Linked DNA regions of Caenorhabditis elegans. The protein of the gene in region 1 interacts with the protein of each later gene in a pairwise test. Each region holds a gene or a part of one and is shown on either strand. Other genes may lie near its edges. The genes, in order: eif-2gamma and C05G5.1.

Region 1 (5,435 bases):
ATATGCGCCTTTAAGGAGTACTGTAGTTCCAAATTTTTTGTTGCATCGATTTTTGAAAAACTCCTTGAAAAATGATGACAAATATAGTTTTTTCTCGATTTGTAAAAAATTCGAAAATTGATGAAAAATCGATGAAAATTTTACAAAAAACGTGAAAAACTCAATTTTTCAAAACAATATTCGGCTATTTTCCAATTTTAGTTTAAAAAAAATCGCATTCTGCATTTTTTTTTGCGCTCCCTGCCGTGTTTGCGTATTTTCACCGCTACAGTACCCCGAAATGCTCAAATTTTGCTCTGATAGTTTCACAAAAGTTTAAAATGTGAAGAAATCGTTTCTTTTAACACTATAAATCTCGAATTTTCACTAAACAGTTGAGAAAATCAAATCAAAATTTCAAATTTTGACGATTTCCGTTTAAAAATTTGATTCTGGCTTCAACTCTCGCCCGATCCCAACATTTTCCCTCAAAAAAAATCCCGAAATTCTGCATGCATTTTTTCGTAGGATCCGGTGATTGCGTACTTTCGCGGCTACAGTACTTCTGGCGTGTCGAGACCGGGGTTTTTTGTCGAAATAACAGCTCAAAAATGCTAATTCAAATTTCTTCAGGCAGTCGTCGAGAACGCTGTAGCCGTCGTACGCAATGACTTTGGAATCGTGACCGTCGAGGAATCCCTACATCAACTCGTATCCCATATGACGTCATCAGGCCTCTATCGTTTCCATGACACTCCACTGGGAGCCCTCGTCGTGCCGTTTCTACCCTCTAACTTTGGACCAATGTATATTTGCAAACTGACCAGATTGCAATAGATTTTTAATATTTGATGAATTTTTTTAAATTTCTAGATTTTGCTATTTTTTGTTTGTTTTTTTTAAATCTGAATTTTTAAATTTATGTCTTGTTTTAAAATTTTATTATTTATGCAGTACCCCCATGGGTGCATCTGCCGTTCCATCAGTACCTAATTTCAAATTCATAGAATTTTTCATTGATCCTTCTTGTTCGTTCTCTATGTATGTATTGCGAAATCATTTGAACAGTCGATTTTTTGGCGGGAACCTGTGTCGCCCAACAGACAGCGGTCAATTTGTATTTATTTCGAAATCGCCGAGCGTGTCTGACCATCTGCTCGCTTTCCCGTCCTTTTTCGGCTCATTGAGCACAACATTTTCGGTGGTATTGCGCCTTTTTCTATCGATTTTTAGTCCATAAAAGCAAGCTCACAATCTCGTTCTCTGTTTCAAAAATTCACATTGCAGAACCTCCCGCCGCCATGTCGACCCAAGCCGATCAGCTGAAAGCGCTCCGAATCAAGACGGGAACCGTGCAACGTCTCGTCAAAGAAGTCGCCTATTACGAGAAGCAAGTTGTGAAGGAGGAGCAGAAGGCTGCCCAACTCGCCGCCGACGCCACCAACGAGGACGAGGAGTATGTTGCCAAGAAGTCGAAGGATATTGTTAAGGTTTTTTGAAATAATCCGATTTACGAGTATACGAAATTAAAATATTTTCAGGAAACTGCCAACATGGTCCGCGATTCTCAATCACGTCTCCAAAAAGCTGTGGCCGACCTCCGTGAATCGATTGCTTCTGGGAATTATCCGGAGGAAGCCGCAGAATTCGTCAATGCGAAGACGCTTGTGGACTCCATTTCTGCTTAATTTATGATACTCTTTTGTTATTTTGGGATTTTCGGTGATTTATGATGAATAATTATTGCATTTTACTTGAATACATGGTTTATAATGCCGTATAAATAATTTTAAGAAGCAATTTCGCTAATATTTCCATACGAAAAATATACAGATGTCCGTTAATTCAACGATTTTTGCCTGGTTCGCGCTAAAAAGCAAAACATAAAATTCGAGCTCGTAAATCGACACACGAAATCGCATCGAGACCCTTCCAACCACTCCCATGCGCCTTTAACCCATTTCTAATTTTATCCAATTTTAGCCTGTTTTCTATGCAATCTTTATGGATTTTCAATTAATTTTGAGTAATTTCGATTAATTATAATGATAATTTTTTAAAGATCAATAATCGACTCAACTGGGATCATAAAAACAAAAAATATGGCTTCTGGTAAGTGTTAGCTTTTCGGTTTCAAGAAAATTTCATAATTCTTTCTTAATTTAGAAGCTGAAAAGGACAAGTGCCAGAGCTGGCTTGCGAAACAAGATTTGGACAAAGTCGGAGTCGATAATTTGAACCCACTCACCGAGGAGGTACTGAAAATCAATAATTTTTGAGTTAAAGAGTTATTTTTCAGGTTATCTCTCGACAAGCCACGATTAATATCGGAACTATTGGCCACGTAGCCCATGGAAAATCCACTCTGGTGAAAGCGTTCTCCGGTGTGCATACTGTCAAGTTCAAAAGAGAGTTGGAAAGAAATATTACTATCAAACTTGGATACGCTAATGCAAAGATCTACAGATGTTCTAACCAAGAGTGCCCAAGGCCAGGATGTTACAGGTTATAATATCTCCCTGAAATTTAATTTAAATAAATAATTTTTGAATTCTAATTCAGATCCGCCGGTTCATCAACACCCGATCGGTTCCCATGCGAGCGCGCCGGATGCGGTGGAGAATTCACCTGTGTTCGCCACGTCTCATTCGTCGATTGCCCAGGTCACGACATTCTTATGGCCACCATGTTGAACGGAGCCGCTGTCATGGACGCCGCGTTCTTGCTCGTCGCCGGAAACGAACCATGCCCACAGCCACAAACATCTGAACATCTCGCCGCCGTCGAGATTATGCAGCTGAATCATTTGATGATTCTTCAGAACAAGGTCGATATTATCAAGGAGTCGCAAGCCCGCGAAAATTACGAGCAAATCGCCGGATTTGTGCAAGGAACGGTCGCCGAGAATGCTCCAGTCATCCCGATTTCTGCGCAGCTTAAATATAATGTTGATGTAAGGATCTGAATCTGGATTTAAATATACCACGCTCTCCTCAAGTGTTCATAATTATTAGAGCGCGCTCGCGCGGCACCACACGAACTCCAGAATTCGCGGGAATTCGTTTCGCGGGGACAGCAGTTTTTGGCTATATTCGGCTTCTATGGAAATTATTTTTAATTTTTTTGATTTATAATATTGTTGAGAAGCACCATCCGAATTGAAAATGTGTAAAATTATGAAATCTGACCGAAAACTGAAGTTTTTACAGAGAGGAGTCACCACGGCTTTCTTTAAAATGTATCAGTACCGTCAGTTTTTCGAATTCAGAGTCGTAAAATATGTCATTTTGTAAGTCTGTTTCACGAAAATCCATGTTTGAAATTTTAATTTTTTAATTTCTAATATAAAAATATTCAAAAAATCAACAATTTTACGTTAGAATCTAATTTTTTCAAATTTTCAGTTTTTCATAAGAACAATTTTAAAATTTCAAACATGGATTTTTGTGAAACAGACTTTTCTCTACAAAATAACATATTCTACGACTCTGAAATCGAAAAACTGACTGTACTGATACATTTTAAAGAAAGCCGTGGTGACTCCTCTCTGTAAAACCTTCAGTTTTCGGTCAGATTTCATAATTTTACACATTTTCAATTCGGATGGTGCTTCTCAACAATATTATTAAACAAAAAATTAAAAATAATTTCCATAGAAGCCAAAAACAGCCGCCTAAAACTGCTGTCCCCGCGAATTCTGGAGTTCGTGAGGGGCCGCGCGAGCGCGCTCTAATAATTATGAACGCTTGAGGAGAGCGTGTATACTAGATTAATTGCGATTTTTCAGCTCGTTTGCGAGTATCTTTGCAAGAAAATCCCCGTGCCAGTCCGTGACTTCAAGTCGCCGGCTCGTCTCATCATTATCCGATCATTCGATGTTAACAAGCCAGGATCTGAAGTTGAAAACTTGAAGGGAGGAGTCGCCGGAGGAACATTGACCAAGGGAATTCTGCGCGTCGGACAAGAAATCGAAGTTCGCCCGGGAATCGTCTCAAAAACCGCGACCGGTCAACTCCAATGCCGTCCGATCTTCTCCCGTATCGACTCTCTGTTTGCCGAAAAGAACCAGCTGGAATACGCCGTTCCCGGCGGTCTCATCGGTGTTGGAACGAAGATCGACCCGACACTCTGCCGTGGAGATCGACTCGTCGGTCACATCCTCGGAGCCGTTGGCACTCTTCCAGATATCTTCATCGAAATTGAAATCTCCTTCTATCTTCTGAGAAGATTGCTCGGAGTTCGTACTGAAGGAAAGAAGAAGGGAGCCAAGGTGCAGAAGCTTGTCAAGGAAGAGACTTTGCTGGTGAACATTGGATCGTTGTCAACGGGAGGAAGAGTTACTGCTGTGAAGGGAGACGCCGCGAAGATCAGATTAAACGATCCTATTTGCACAGAGGTAATTCCCACTTTTTATAAAATAATAAATTTAATTTGTATTTAAATTCAGGTTGGAGAGAAGATTGCCATGTCACGTCGTTTCGAGAAGAGTTGGCGCCTGATTGGCTGGGGAACCATTCGCAAAGGTCAAACCGTTGAGCCGTACAAGAACTAGCGGCTATCATCGATTTGTTGTCTACACCGGTTTTGACATATTATTAATCTTTTCCAATTGTTTCTCTCCGTTTTTGTCTCTCTATTAGTCCAAAAAATTTTGTCGGATCCCTGTTTTGGTTCTTTTTTCTGTCCTCCTCCTGTTTCCTACTATTCCACTTCCAGTTTCATTGATTATTTTTCTTTTTGTTGAAAGTGTGCTTGGTGTTTTTTCGATAAATTATTGGATTTGAGTAAAATCTGGAAATACATTTTATAATTGCAGCAAAGATTCAGGTTTTGAAAAACAAAACGAAAAGTGCAGGCTACAGTAACCCACCTTAAAGGGAGGTTTCATTCCTTGCGCAGATGGTCTCGCCGCGATGAGACTTTTGTAGAATGTTTACGGTGTTGTAGGCCGCTAGAAAATTTTCGAATTTCATCTGAATTTCTCTTTATTTTCTCCAATTTTCTCAAATTTTTGTTCGAAAATCTGAATAAAATGTATAAAACTTTTATTTTAACGCCTCGATCGGATAAAACATACACTCTAAATGATAAATTTCAGCGATGCCGGCCCCGAAATTCATCGAAGGTCCGAACACTGTTCAAACGTCACTTTACGGCTATGACAGGAGCAAGAAAGTGCAGGTAATACTCTGAATTGTGCGATTTTTTCCACCCACTAAAACATAACCTAGTTCCAGCTGAACAATTTACGCGGGAAACCAATTATGGTGCTCCGTTCTGATACGGTCATTCCAAAAAACGAAGAAGCACCTCCACCACGAAGCACCTTCGCCAAGAAGTGGGTCGATCGCAGTCGTCATATTCCGACAATTCCACTATGTAGGCGACAATTCCATGTCCTTAACATTTCCCAAAGAAAATACAATTTTAAATTGCAGACAAATCCACGTGCAGAT
Region 2 (8,096 bases), on another chromosome or scaffold:
TATTTGGTATCGCCCGACACGTACGGGGTCCGCGCCGCACTATACATTCGGATACATGCGGCTTGAGTGACGTCGTGAGGCCTGAATACTCCAAGATCATCACATTGTGTTACAAAAGAAACTCAAATTTATAGATTTGCGAATCATACGCCAAAGAAGCCAAATTCGCTGGCAAAGGTACACTGGAAGATGAAGACTACAGAGATACCAAAAAAGCCATTGACACTATCAATAAAATGATAACCGATGCAAAACACGAGAAAGAACTTATTGATGATGATGAAGATTAAACGGTTTTTCATATATTTTTTTCGATTTTTTTTGCATTTCCGATTCACCCCCGTGTAATTAAGTTTTGGTTCTCCGATTTTTTTTTTCAATTTTCTTATAAACTTTTTCTTTGCCTATAAACATTTAATTTTTCAAATTTTCATTGAAAATATGTTTTTGGTTTCATAAATACATATGTATACACATAGATTTAAAGATCTAACTCGTTCCATTTCTTTCCCTGCTCGTAATTCCTTCGCTTGTACTTAGGCCAGAAGAATGCCACAAAACTAGTTATAAGGACAGATATGCAAATTAGCCAGATAAGGAATGGCCCTGAAAAAAAGAAATTGAGAATGCATAATTTTTTAATTAAAACAATGAAAACTCTATCTTACATTTCCAAGTTAACACCGTATGATTCTGAGAGTTGGTGTCCACGCACGTTTGAATGGCCATATCATGAGGGTCCGGTTTTCCGACAGCTAGATTTGTCATAATCACATAAAATACTCCTTGAACCTGTCCAATCATGATAATAAGTCCGGTTGACGTGGCCTCTGCCACTGGGAATGTCGCCTCAACTCCCATCTCGAGACCAATCGGATAAATTGAGAATCCAGCAGCTCCAAAGATAAAAATCGAGAGTATCACCCACCACTGCACACCCTCGTAGTTGATACAAATTGATAAGGAAGCTGCTGCAACTCCGGCAATGCAAAATGATACTTTCATTACCTGAAAAATTGTGGAATGTGAAGCTAATGTGTAGAGAGTGTGATCTAAAAGCTATGTTCAGAAGGAGAAAATAATCTAGTTGTTTTACTGTTTTTTCTAATTGGAAATTGCAGAAATTTTGGTAACTTTTCGGTAACCGGTATTTGGTACGTCGAAGTTCAAAAATGCATTGCCACCAGATATCCATAGTTTTAAACTAACTTTTTCAAATTCTCCCCACTTGTCAACAATGATCCCACTGATAGCTGCTCCAACGAGTCCAGACATGATCAACAAGGTTCCCATTCCTCCATTGAACGTCGGGTTATACCCTTTCACGCACAATGCTGGCTGCAGATTGTTGTACAACGCGTTGAAAAGACCGACTCCTCCGCCTAAAAATTAAAGCATTTTTGAAAGACATTTACTTGGCAGTTTCTAGGTTGTAAATGTGCATACGTGACATATTGGAAACTAGACTGTCAAGATGTATGTTAATTCTTCCGCATTTCGAAAAATCAAAAACATTTTAATCTGGCAAGCACAGTTGCCCTGAATACTCCCAGGACTTTGACCTCCTGCTGGAAAAAGTGTAAGTCTAACGAAAAAGTGAATTTACAAAATGATGATAACTCATGTTTCTCTAGGAAGATCAAAAAATTTTTCTGGTCACTCTGTGGGTATTGTGACAATTATGAGCACTATTGTATTAAACTATTGTACTGAACATTAATCAGGCATACTTTTTGGCAATGTTGTTTTAAATTTGACTGTCAACAACTCACCCAAACAAATGGATAGCACAATGAACGTTTTCGATTTGAAGCATATTTTGACACCTTCCAAAAATGGCGGGGCATCTACGTCTGTATCTCTGGAAGGTGTTGCAGGAGTAGGTGGCTTTGACTTGTTGATGAACAAGGAGAGAATTACAGGAATGACAGCCACAGCCGTTACTGCTATGTTCTGCAGGTTTTTTTTTCTAAGATTCAATTTCAAAGAACGGATTTTCCTACCATATTGAAAAAGTTGTCTGGAGTTGTCTTATTTACAAATACAGGTGCCAATGAGTACATGACAGCGATTCCAATGGGATTCGACATTGACGACAGTGTATTTGCAATAGCTCTCTCATTATCCGCAAACCAGTATGCTGCGAGTTTTGTGGGAAGGAACATGACAAATGGTTGTGCAAAAGCGGCTACTGCCTGTCCGGTTATAGCAATTGGGAATCTGAAATCTTGAGAGTTTTTTCGCATTCAATAATTTAAGAGAATGGTAGGCATTTTTAGTGTCTAGGGTAATCAGTTTTGAACTTAGTCAAGCTTTTGAAACTTGGTGTCTGCGCAACGTAATGCGAAAAGGTAGTTTTTTGGAAGCGGCCGACACGTTCGGGGTTCCGCAGCTTGGCGTGAAATGAGTAGTAGCTTGGTGTGTGCGCAACGTAGTGCAAAGATGTAGTTGTTTGAAAGTGGCCGACACGTTCGGGGTTTTGCACCGCACTATGCATCCGGATACATGCGGCTTAAGTCACGCCGTAAAGCCGGTGCAGGTGCCGTTATGGAGACTTTATGAGAGCCCTGGACTATACATATAAATTTATGATAATAAACATAGATTGCAATTAGAATTAAAATTTTAAACAATTAAAATAAACATTTTGGATAGAATGAAACCAATATTTTAAACTTCAATATTCAAATCCCCAAAACCACATACCGTAGTGACGGGTCTATAAAAGTCCCTGACGCAACCAGACGAATAATGTTTCCGATGAAATTTGCCCATGTTCCAATGTGATACTGCAATACATCTAGCTCTAGATCAGCATTTTTGTCAGATTATCCTACCGCTGATCGGAGTCCAAACTTATCAATCCACCAGCATGCTAAGAATCCCACCGGAATCGATAAAACCATAAAAATAACGTTGAAAAATAGAGCTGCATTTGAGTTGGAGTAGTAGTTGTTAGTGTAGAAAGTGATGGCCGCGTATGTGATCCATGTCTGGAGAAAAGGTTGTTTTTATGATCATGAACATTTTTAATTGATGATAGAACATTTGATTTCTAAGATTTCTAGTTATCAGAAGAAGAACGATTTATCATCATTTGTCACTTTCTGTTTAGTTGATATTGGCTATCTTCAATGATATTTGATATGATCTACGACGACATGAAGTCTAGGTTGAAAATCTATTATAAACAAATCACATGATCATGTTCGTCATTTAATTATTTTCTTCCAATAATGATGTTACTCACATTTCCATTTGAAAAGTTAATCATGCTCACTGCCAGCAAATAAATCCATCGTTTGGGGTAAACCCTATAATCCTCGTTCAGCATGCTGTTAATCATTATCAAGCGATGCCGTCGATGTTATCAGTGGAAAACAAATAGTATAAGTTGTGAAAACACTGATCCTCTTCCTCTCTGACAACGTAAGATGTGTGCTCTGCTGCTGAAATAATATGCAATAAATTGAGGCAAGAGAAAAGGAAGGAAGAGGTAAGGGTGAAGCGTGGTTGTTGTAACCGACTGATCTACGACCAATGGTTTTATCATCGAAAAATGTAAAGCAAAAAGGAATTGCCTCCTCTACACTGCTTGCAGGTTGATTAGAAAAATGACACTCTACTCTGAAAAATGTGTGCCCTGAGTGCTCACAAACTCTAGGACAATGTAGTGTAACTATGGAAACTAAAAACTGATTATTATCTCTCTCATTTGAAAGTGAAATTGAGAAGATATCGTGGTTATGATGCTATATCAATTTCTCTTGATACATATAATATGTTCTCATATTTTTTTGAGAAGGGGTTTATCGCAGGATTTTTGCAAAGGTAATAAAAAGAGAACAGGTCTCAAATGGTGGGAATTCTTCGACTGTGAAAGATTAGTAAACAAGACCAAAATACATACTTTGGGTATGGTTAACTTAGTAATGCAATAAATAAAAAAAAGTGATCTGTGAATTGATAAACCAAATTAGCGATGTGAACAAGCATTAGGCATTCCTCAGACCACACATGGTGACACTAAGAAATTGGCGAAGAAAAAAGTGAACTGGAAAGACGATTAAAAGTTTTAAAGTCACCTCTTGACGTGGGTCTGATTAAATTGTGTTAATAGTGTCTAGTCGCAACACAGATTTAAAATCAAAATACAAAAATTCAAATATTTCAATAGAAAAAGCACTTGTAAGTTGTAGCCAAAAGGTTACTAATTTACATTCTCAAACGATATCGGGGGAAAAAAATGTATAGTTAGAATTTACCATAAAAAGGTTAATAAAGAATTAAAATACGTAGTAGCATATGTTTTTCATTCCCTTTATTTTAGATTATATTGACAAATTCTCCTACACACATAATACTTTGAATTGTATTGTATCTTTTCAAATCTAACTAAAAATTCATCTAAAAATGACAAATGGCAAGGCGGAATAGGAAATTGAACCGATTTTGAACTGGTTGATAAGCCATCGTAATGACAATTTATTTACATTTCCTTGTGACTAGAACAACTTACGCCTTGCCCCGCCTTTCCAGAAAAGATTATTCGGTTATGAAAACAAAGAATCATAAACAATTTAGAAAACGTTTAATCATCGTTCCGTTGTTTGGAACATTTAAATCGCATTATTGGAAAATTAAGTCAATTTACTAGAGTTTTCGTATATGTTGATGTGTGATATGAAGGAATGAGTCATTTTGACTTGTGCAGTGTTTGAACAGAATTTTTTAATTTGAAATGTAATTTGAAATTCAGCAAAATGTCTGACTGAAAGTATTAGTATTCACTACACTTAAACTTTTTATATATACCCGAATCAAAAACGGAAAATGTCAATGTATTGGCAAGGTCAATTGTAGGAATTTCAATTTTTTTTAATATACACATTTTTAGAAGAACTGGTTAACGATAAAAAACAGAAACAATAATGGAGAAGCTATTTTTTAAAAATCCAAAATAAAAAAAAAGGTTATTTTTGAAAAATTGGAAAAATCTCAATTTTGCGTTTTTGATAAAAAATTTCACCGACTTTTATGATATATTTATGTTTCAAATATTGATACTTAACATTTTAAGGATTCGAATTCTCTCTAAAAGTGGCAAAAACTCCGTAAGGCCCCTTTTTGGCAGTCAATAAAAGTTTTTAAAATTAAAAAAAAAAGTTTCACTATTATACATGCTTGTAACAACTTCCCAACTGGCGCTACTCCATTTTTAAATAGTCTCCACCCACATATTGGTTTTTTTTTGTTTTCAAGCTCAATTTTTTATAAGCATTTTCAAATCAGCTTGAGAGAATTTCACTTCGAAATGACATAATTTTTATGAGTTAAGAAAAGTATGTATCATTTATAGGAATTACTGAAAAATTATGGAATGAGTTATATAAAAATATATTTACCTACTATTGTAATGAGTGTCAAACAAAGAAAAAGTAATGAAAGAATGCAGTACTATTAGAATCGTAATTCTAGTAAGTACTTCAAGTGCATTTTCTAATTTTAAATTTTGAGTGCAGACGTGAAACTTCTAAATTACTATACATTTTTCAACAGGGAAAAAAGTTTGAAGCTGATAAACTCACTATTTGCTTGAAACTTTTAGTGCATTTATCATAAATTTGAAACTTCAGCAAAATGATAAGGACGTCACGCAGGAAGTAAATGCAACATCAAAATACTACAACCACAGGTCAAAAAACATTTTAAAAAAGCAAAAATTTTAATTTCTCATACATTTTTTTGCATAAAATAGAAAAAATAGTGAAATTGCACTATTATTTATTTTTTGTTTTTAGCTTTTGTTTCCTATACCTCTCTCACCTCATGTGTGTTTACCAATCCAACCCAGTAGTACTCGTGCTTTGAAAAATCAATTTTTCACTGGCTTTCAATCTCTTTGTTCTGGAAATTAATTGAAGACTTTTAAAAATTAATATTGAAGTATTCTTATTAACTTAAAAAAATTACTTACTGAAAAAAAATAGATAGCAACAAGAAGAAAAAGCAAATTAAAACTCTAAGTGGTGCGCTTTTGCAACTGATGAATGGTCAGTATTAGAGAAAAAGGAAACCGCAGAAAAGCACGCTAGGAACTAAATATGTATGCGAGAGTGAGGAGAGCAAACACACGTGTCCAGTAGTTGAGGACATTCCGAAAAATGTAGTTGAACCACGTTTCATTTCTTTTTACTATCGAGCACAACCGGGAGTCGGTGTGTTTTGTGTGTAGTCTTGTATGGAAGCAAGTATCAGTTTTAAGTTTTGGAAAGTGTTTCGACGTTTTTAAAAATGAAGATACATTTTATTGAAACTATTTGGTTGAAATTAATTGAATGCTCTCAAACCCAAAAAAATTCTAAACAAAACATTAAAAATGGAATTTCACTGACTCAGTTTCGGCCAGGGTTGCCATTTTTTGGTACAAAAAGTTGAAAATAAATAAAGAGCTCTAAAAATGTTACTTTTCAGTGAAACTCGAAATAGTTTTTTTTGTTTCCAAAAAAGTATTGTTTGTGTTTCTCTTTTCGGATGATATTTTATGGTTACTGTTTGTAAACTGTTAGTTAAAATAACAGTGAAAGCTATAGATTCAGATAGCAAACGAAAGTTCCAGAAAATGGTTTAAACCTGTAAGTTGTTTTATGATTTTGTTACCTAATCAATTCTTGAACCTCATAGCTCTGAAATATCTTTGTTTTCAATAAGACATGCATTTTTGCATTTTTAAAGCCAATATTTATCATTGTCGAGATGTAGACTTAAAATTTTTCTGGGGACCTACTGGCCAATATTATTATATGGGGTTTCCTATTCGCTGATCATTGGGCTTACCATACATTGCCCGGCTGATTCAACAATGCAAAAGTCAATAGAATGATTACAATGAACGGGTGTGAGTTTTGTAATTGTTTGGTGATCCGATTAATAGGAAATATTGCGGCAGACATATTATAAGTTTTTGGGAATTTTTATTGCTAAATTAATCATCAGGTGAACACTTATGGAATAATTGCACATAGCGATTTAATTCATTTAAATTCTTTGAATAATCATTGTTGTACTACTCCTTGAAAGAGCAACAGTTAGAGCCTACCTACCCTGTCGCACGTTTCACAATCTGCAGATAAATAAATTATCACAGTATGTATATTTATTATATTATTCAAAAACTATGAAAAATGAAACATAATTAGATTGGTTTTGGAAAAAAATTAAAAGGAAATACAGTTTTAACCCTGCAAATTTAAACACTCAAAAATACAGAACAGATTACAGAACAGATGTATGCTTTGTTCTAAAAGTATAAAACAGAAATCGTAATTCCATTAGACCCTTATATTTTAACCAAACGAAGAGTACTTGAAAACATTAGAGTTTTGAATAAATTGAAACGTAAATAGTAGAATGCCCAGTTATATACTTTTTGAACCATTTTTTCGTAAACCATATTTGAAACTTGCTATATTTCGAATGAAATATTTAAAAGGATTAAAAGATTAAAGGGCGATTCGTTCTTCAAGCGCAACGCACTGCGGATCTGGGAGTTAGGTACACTGCCTGGTTGTGCTCCCACTGGGCTATAATTTAAGCCACGTCCTAGCCGGAGACTGTGGCCGATAATCCAGCCGTGGATTGCTTCACTTTCCAATAGAGACTGGGTGAACCTAGGAAGTGAGCCCGGACTTGAAATTGTGACCTCCAAATTGCTACCAATACCGACTAAGCTTTTCTGCTCCCTGTCTGCTTAAATGAGGAGCAGAATAATCACAATCGCCAATTAAACGTTATACCTTTTTGAACCAATAAATATGACACATTTTCTAATTTATTTTTTAACCAATCAGAATATTCTTCAAAAAATTTTAAAGATGATTTATGCTTTCTGTTTTCTGTTCTTCAAATCACTGAACTTTGCTGCTAATTATTATGGAACTTTGACTAATCTAGTACATCATTAAAATAGATAGACATATTAAAACAGTTTTTTTTTTTCTAATTTTAAACAGTGTTTCTTCCAGCGAAATCAAGGATAGCTAGGAAAATGGTTTAATTGTATTAGGGCGGCAAATAAGTTTTGACGTATTTCGTCA

The links.
Region 2: the proteins of eif-2gamma (region 1) and C05G5.1 interact in a two-hybrid assay, tested with the Caenorhabditis elegans proteins (one large-scale study listed by BioGRID).

The regions. Positions count from the first base shown.
Region 1 is NC_003279.8:2,311,230-2,316,664, forward strand, and holds eif-2gamma (protein-synthesizing GTPase), read left to right. Parts: upstream 1-2,041; 5' UTR 2,042-2,081; coding exon 2,082-2,091; intron 2,092-2,145; coding exon 2,146-2,234; intron 2,235-2,278; coding exon 2,279-2,484; intron 2,485-2,541; coding exon 2,542-2,932; intron 2,933-3,766; coding exon 3,767-4,375; intron 4,376-4,426; coding exon 4,427-4,531; 3' UTR 4,532-4,763; downstream 4,764-5,435. Other genes in the region: 5-cytosine rRNA methyltransferase nsun-4, read left to right, coding at 613-816; tbca-1 (Tubulin-specific chaperone A), read left to right, coding at 1,281-1,469, 1,521-1,667; ekl-7 (PEHE domain-containing protein), read left to right, coding at 5,080-5,160, 5,211-5,358, 5,418-5,435.
Region 2 is NC_003284.9:14,734,030-14,742,125, forward strand, and holds C05G5.1 (MFS domain-containing protein), read right to left. Parts: upstream 6,091-8,096; 5' UTR 5,978-6,090; intron 5,908-5,977; 5' UTR 5,827-5,907; intron 3,450-5,826; 5' UTR 3,347-3,449; coding exon 3,251-3,346; intron 2,994-3,250; coding exon 2,838-2,993; intron 2,790-2,837; coding exon 2,707-2,789; intron 2,221-2,706; coding exon 2,004-2,220; intron 1,954-2,003; coding exon 1,773-1,953; intron 1,383-1,772; coding exon 1,210-1,382; intron 1,009-1,209; coding exon 669-1,008; intron 607-668; coding exon 482-606; 3' UTR 413-481; downstream 1-412. Other genes in the region: F33C8.4 (DUF7758 domain-containing protein), read left to right, coding at 135-290.